2 linked regions of the Bombyx mori genome follow. The protein of the gene in region 2 purifies or fractionates together with the protein of the main gene of each other region. This does not show direct contact. Links are inferred from orthologs where the notes say so. Each region holds a gene or a part of one and is shown on either strand. Other genes may lie near its edges.

Region 1 (3,500 bases), on a different chromosome or scaffold from region 2:
GCGAAGGCCTTCGACAGGGTCTGGCATAGGGCACTTCTATCGAAGTTACCATCTTACGGAATCCCCGAGGGTCTCTGCAAGTGGATCGCTAGCTTTTTGGATGGGCGGAGCGTCACGGTCGTTGTAGACGGTGACTGCTCTGATACCATGACCATTAACGCTGGCGTTCCACAAGGTTCGGTGCTCTCCCCCACGCTTTTCATCCTGTATATCAATGACATGCTGTCTATTGATGGCATACATTGCTATGCGGATGACGGCACGGGGGATGCGCGATATATCGGCCATCAGAGTCTCTCTCGGAGCATGGTGCAAGAGAGACGATCAAAACTTGTGTCTGAAGTGGAGAACTCTCTGGGGCGAGTCTCCGAATGGGGTGAATTGAACTTGGTTCAATTCAACCCGATAAAGACACAAGTTTGCGCGTTCACTGCGAAGAAGGACCCCTTTGTCATGGCGCCGCAATTCCAAGGAGTATCCCTGCAACCTTCCGAGAGTATCGGGATACTTGGGGTCGACATTTCGAGCGATGTCCAGTTTCGGAGTCATTTGGAAGGCAAAGCCAAGTTGGCGTCCAAAATGCTGGGAGTCCTCAACAGAGCGAAGCGGTACTTCACGCCTGGACAAAGACTTTTGCTTTATAAAGCACAAGTCCGGCCTCGCATGGAGTACTGCTCCCATCTCTGGGCCGGGGCTCCCAAATACCAGCTTCTTCCATTTGACTCCATACAGAGGAGGGCCGTTCGGATTGTCGATAATCCCATCCTCTCGGATCGTTTGGAGCCTCTGGGTCTGCGGAGGGACTTCGGTTCCCTCTGTATTTTGTACCGTATGTTCCATGGGGAGTGCTCTGAGGAATTGTTCGAGATGATACCAGCATCTCGTTTTTACCATCGCACCGCCCGCCACCGGAGTAGAGTTCATCCATACTACCTGGAGCCACTGCGGTCATCCACAGTGCGTTTCCAGAGATCTTTTTTGCCACGTACCATCCGGCTATGGAATGAGCTCCCCTCCACGGTGTTTCCCGAGCGCTATGACATGTCCTTCTTCAAGCGAGGCTTGTGGAGAGTATTAAGCGGTAGGCAGCGGCTTGGCTCTGCCCCTGGCATTGCTGAAGTCCATGGGCGACGGTAACCACTCACCATCAGGTGGGCCGTATGCCCGTCTGCCTACAAAGGCAATAAAAAAAAAAAAAAAAAAAAAAAAAAAAAATGGTTAAGTAGTTATAACGGAACATCCGTAAAAACCACTGTAGATTTATATATTACTTTAGATTCCGATCCAACTTACCATTCTCTCTCCCTTCCGTTCTTCCCTTCACATAACGCTTTGACTTCCGGAACTTGTGTATATATATTTAATCAGCACATTACTGAGATTTAAGCTGTTTTTATACCAGGCGGGGACGGGCGGACAGTCTCCGCCGGGGGCTCCGCAGAGCGTCACCTTCATACGGAGCCAACTGGCGCCCGGACTCGCACCACAACAACAGGTAACATCAGTATTGCTTTTATGGTAAATCGCACAACCTGGTTAAGGAATTTATTTTCTGTGCATCATCTAACAAATCCTCAACACTATTATTCAATCAAATCAATTATTTTTGCACAATACACCACTACTGGCCATCTTGACTTTCTGTCACTATTTCCGCAGTCTTCATCTAAATCAGTATGGTATCATCAACGTCATCCTTCATATCTTTTTTTCAATACCCACCTTCAGTATTTTACCAACTGGCCTAGTGCCTACTACTTGGGTAAAGCCCATAAACTATCGCAATTGCAAAATATTGATGAAGCCTTTTGTCTGCTTTTTTTGCTACCTAAGCTGATGGTCTAGGGGGCTCAAACCTGACTATGTTCCTAACGCGAACCCTAGCAAGAGCTGTGCTTCGCAAAATCTACCACCGAATCGGAAACGCGACCCATTGAGTATCGGATCTCCAGCGAGAAACTTAGTGGGCTGGGTTCGACGAGAGCGAGTGCTTGGGGTACCTAAAATCACCGTTAGTGGATCGGGAGGATCCGAAATGACGTGTTTGGGGCGACGTCGACTGCTTTCCATTCGGTCCGCAGGATCGGGGATGTAGTTATCGGCGGCCACGATGAGTGGGCTCTCGTGTCGTGCCGCTTTATCGAAATGGCATTTTGCCTGCAATATTGGTACCAAAGTACTGGTTTTCGTTATCCGTGATTCGCATTCCATTGAGACTGCGACCTTATGTCCAAAGAAAGGCGGTGACGTTCAATTAGTGGACTCGATTTGTTCTTCTAAACTCTTAGCACGTTAAAATCATATCGAGCGATGAAATGCTATGTAGTTTAAGCAACATTTCACGTAATACGTAACATTTTATTTGATTATTACCATCAACAATTCGGTGTTTTTAATTGAACTTCAATTATATTGCCACATTCGAATAACTGAAAGAAGTTTTTTGGTCATGAGATTTTTTCTAAATTTTAAACTTTGAATGGATCTCCTTGTAAAGTTTAAAAAAATGACGCTTAATCCAAATAGCTTTTCACACCTCGATATTTAATAGTTTATCTGTCATTATCGAGTCGTTGAAATAATGAAGCAAAATTTTACGAAATCTGTATTCGAAAACTAGTCCTAATTATACTGTTGGTCAAGGTACAATGGCTGCAGCAGCAAGGAGCGAGGACCACGACTATACCAGCGGCCACGCCTGCCCCTCCACCGCAGTCTCCAGGTCAGATAAATAGGACAGTTTTTTTTTTAAAGATATTGTGTCCTGGTCACGAGGCCTTTAAGCCAAATCGTATTTCGAATTATACTCTGTTTTAAGGAATGTCATTGTAATACAAATTAAATGCCTTACGACTGTCTGCTGGTTCAAGAAATATGAAGTTTCTTGGTCGTATTTTTTGTGCTATTCGTACTCCATTGACTCGTGAACGTGTCTGTAGAAATGTCGATGAGCGAACGAGCTAACTTGATATTAAGTGGTACCTTGATTTGAAGTCGTCGTGGCCTAAAGAATAAGACGCCTGGAGCATTCGTATGTAGCGATTCACCGGTGTTCGAATCCCAGGCGGGTACCAATTTTTCTAATGAAATACGTACTCAACAAATGTTTACGATTGACTTCCACGGTGGAGAAATAACATCGTGTAATAAAAATCAAACCCGCAAAATTATAATTTGCGTAATTACTGGTGGTAGGACCCCTTGTGAGTCCGCGCGGGTGGGTACCACCACCCCGCCTATTTCTGCCGTGAAGCAGTAATGCGTTTCGGTTTGAAGGGCGGGGCAGCCGTTGTAACTATACTTGAGAACTTAGAACTGATATCTCAAGGTGGGTGGCTGCACTTACGTTGTCTATGGGCTCCGGTAACCACTTTCGTTTGGAGCCCCTGGGTCTGCGGAGGGACTTCGGTTCCCTCCGTATTTTGTACCGCATGTTCCATGGGGAGTGCTCTGAGAAATTGTTCGAGATGATACCATCGTGTCGTTTTTACCATCGCACC
Region 2 (3,500 bases):
CATGGATATAAATCATATAAATATACTTTACACTTACAAAGTCAGCTTTTATTTCTTAATCTTGAAATTAATGTAAATGAGCTGCCATTTGTAGATACAAATTAGACGGTAATTTCTTTCAAAAAATATTTTCATTTAATCTAAGCTATAAATCTAGGTTGCTTGTCTCATCTGTCTAGTTATTAATGGTGGAGCTATTCAACTTCTAGCGCGTCAGGGATGGTGACCGTTTAATTTTAACAGTTAGATCGTTTCATTATCTTAATTTCTGTATTGTAGTTAAAAAAAACTGAACTTCTTAAATAGTAATTATTGACACAAATGAAGCATTGAATTTAATTAGCCTATTTAATGATTATTTTTTGCTGTAGTTTGTGATTAGACTGCACTTAGTTTTTTAAATAAAACACACTATGAAGACAATCACATACAGTGTTAAATTGATGACAGCCCTAAAATATTACCGAAAACTTTTATTAGTTTCTGTAATATATAAAGAGAATTGAATTATACATTTCTCATATATCAAGATGAGACAGGTAACTTAATGATTGAAAACTACTGAAATAGTAAAAAAATTGAAAGAAATTGAAATATCACCAATGGGTGATAGCAACGTTTAACAATTAGAACATAAATCAGGAGCAACCGTTGCTTCTCGAGGAGCTTCTGGAGCAGGAGAAGCGCGAACAGGAGCGGGAGGGCGAGTGGGGCGGCGGCGCAGTGGCGGCGCCGGCGGTGGTGGCCCCGCCCGCGCCCCCCGCCGTGCCGCTGTTCGCCGGCGTGCCCCCCGTGCAGCCGCCCGCGCCCTCCGACCGCTCGCACTCCGAGGCCGACCTACACGCGCGCCGCCTCTACGAGCAGTGGCTCAAGCAATTCAATGTCTTCGCAGTTGAGCAACAGCGATACTACGAGCTCGAGGTTCAGAAACTTCGCAAGATTCGCAAGGTGAGCTCCGTAGTGCGCTTTCGTGTTCGTAAGCTTTGTAGTGCGTAGCAGAACCCCCTTTGTTTTGCTTTTCGTTTTGGCAATATTTCCCTCTTCTTTATTATTTCGAGAATCCCCTTGGGATCCTGCACTCTTTATTTATTAGTTGACTTTTGTTCTACACCGGTGTTTTTTATTTTTCAGTCATTAAATAGCAAGCAACGGCAGCTACGTAAGTCGGGGAATGAGTTGCTACCAAACGACGCAGCCGAGCTACAGCGCGTGTCAGCAGAACAGCAGGCTCTTCAGAAACACTTGGACGCCGCCAGGAAGCAAGCCAGGCAGCACAGTATGTTGATCCAGGTGAGTTAATGTTATGATAACTACTTCATGTTTAATTTTCTTATCGTATATGAATTCTTAACGAACTACAGTTGTATCATCGCGATTAACCACTTTTAAAATTCCAGGAATATGAAAATAAACAACGTCAACAAAATCCTCAGCTGGCTCAGCAGACTATAATAAATCAACAGCAGATAGCGACAAATCAAGGCACGCTCAACCAGGCTCAGACTATGAACCAACAGCAGCAACATCAGCAACAAACTATCAATCGACCTATGCAGTTGGGCATCCAACAGCAACAGACGTTGATTCGGAGTCAGCAGACGGTTCTCAGTGGTGAGCAAAGGATTGGACTGGTGACGTCACCGCTGAGCGCTCAGAGCCGGCTCGTACAAGGACGCACGCTCGTCATCGAACAGAGCGCCGTCCCGCAGCCGCAGCTGGTGCGGCAACTGTCGGGGCAGGAGCGCGGCGCCGGCATGCTACAGTTCGCAGCGCAGCGCGCGCCCGCCCCCCGCGCGCCCGGCCCGCGCCCCGCCATGTCGCCGCTGCACGTGCAGTCGCAGTCGCCGCTGCACTCCCTCGCGCCGCAGTCACCGCTCCATCATCTCACCTCGCCGATGCAGTCACCGCTCCACTCGCAGCAGTCGCCGTTGCATCACACCTCACAGTCCCCGCTGCATCCTTCCACTCAATCTCCGCATCACACGCAACAGTCGCCACTTCATTCTCAACAATCACCGATGCACGTCCAACAGACCAATCTGCCTCAACAATCTCCGCTGCATCCGCAACAGTCACCGATGCATCCACAACAATCTCCGATGCACCCCCAACAGTCACCGATACATCCTCAGCAGTCTCCGATGCATCCGCAGCAATCGCCAATGCATCAGCAGTCGCCGATGCACGCACAGCAACAAATGACCACACAACATTCTCCGATGCACCAACAGAGTCCGATGCACTCTCAGCAATCGCCAATGCACGTCCAACAATCTCCAATGCATACTCAACAATCACCGATGCAAACATCGATGTCGCCGCAACATTTTCTTCAACAACTACAAGCTCAAAGAACAAGTCCTCAGCTACCTACGCCCAGTCGGAGTCCACAGGTAAAAAAATCTTCATTTTATTTTATACTTAAAATAAACACGAAAATTCTAGTTTTTAATAATTAAAAACATATTCCAGATTTATCAGCAATCACAAATACAAAGTCCTGTATCATCACATTCGCCACAGCTACAAAACGTATGTATTGAGACAAAATAATTTAAATGACTCTGATTTTTAGCTCCATGATGTAGGACTCCATAGGACAAGGATAGATTGCCTACATCGATACAGAATAGGTCGACATCACTTTCATTCGAGTAATAGCTATCCCTTCAGACCAGAACGTATGGACTGCTTCCTGGTCGAAAAATATGGTATAGGTCAATGCGACTAATAGGAAGTAGTGGGAAGGGTAGAAGAAGTTATGTAGATAAGTAAAATAAAGATATTTAACTGCAGATGGGTTTTGGGTTTTCAAGGAGGCTGTATACAGCATATTTTTTGTGTAGCTTTTGTGTGATATGATCTGACCTATTTCAGGCGGACTTTAGTGGTGCTCGATTTTCAAGACCGGCTTCTGGATGTTCACCAATGCCCACTCGGTTTGCTCGGCCACCTCATCATCAACAAGGTAAAAAAGAAAAACTTAATTATAAAAAAGTTAGTTATAACACACTAACAACTTTTATGCATTTTTCGTTTGTTAATGCAGGAATGAGAGTCGGTGTTGTGCCTTATGGTAGTCGGCAGCAAACTTCTCCTTTGGGGAGTCCACAACCACTGCCGTCTCCGGGCAATCCTAGTAACGAGCTAGCTGTGAGTTTATTTACACACATTAAGTAATTATAGATTTCTGAAAACAAATTTTTCAGTAACTAATCAATAAATTATCTTTGTGTAGAGACAACAAATGTTACAACGTCAGCAATACAGCCCAATGGGAGGGGCGCCGTCATCACCTTCGATATCGAGATCTCCGCACGTAGCGCGCACGCCCACGCCCTCGGCATCTCCTGCCGCTTCTCCAGCGCCCGACCACGGCGGCGGCTCCATGCACTCTCACCACGCCGCGCCCCTCCCGCCCTGCTACCGCTACTGCCGCCCCGGGCTGCGAGGGGGAGCCCCACCCTGGCCCCCCGCGCGACCCAAGCTCACCCTACTGA

The links. Proteins that work in one complex are often made in the same cells at the same time.
Region 1: the proteins of histone-lysine N-methyltransferase 2C (region 2) and PAX-interacting protein 1 purify together in Homo sapiens (affinity purification with mass spectrometry; 4 studies listed by BioGRID and IntAct, with this or other methods). This does not show direct contact. The link is inferred for Bombyx mori from reciprocal best matches to the Homo sapiens genes KMT2C and PAXIP1.

The regions. Positions count from the first base shown.
Region 1 is NC_085122.1:9,066,735-9,070,234, forward strand, and holds part of PAX-interacting protein 1, read left to right. Parts: intron 1-1,402; coding exon 1,403-1,495; intron 1,496-2,643; coding exon 2,644-2,722; intron 2,723-3,500.
Region 2 is NC_085115.1:12,732,074-12,735,573, forward strand, and holds part of histone-lysine N-methyltransferase 2C, read left to right. Parts: intron 1-642; coding exon 643-948; intron 949-1,131; coding exon 1,132-1,290; intron 1,291-1,397; coding exon 1,398-2,393; intron 2,394-2,472; coding exon 2,473-2,532; intron 2,533-2,877; coding exon 2,878-2,968; intron 2,969-3,049; coding exon 3,050-3,153; intron 3,154-3,238; coding exon 3,239-3,500. UniProt on the Homo sapiens protein: Histone methyltransferase that catalyzes methyl group transfer from S-adenosyl-L-methionine to the epsilon-amino group of 'Lys-4' of histone H3 (H3K4).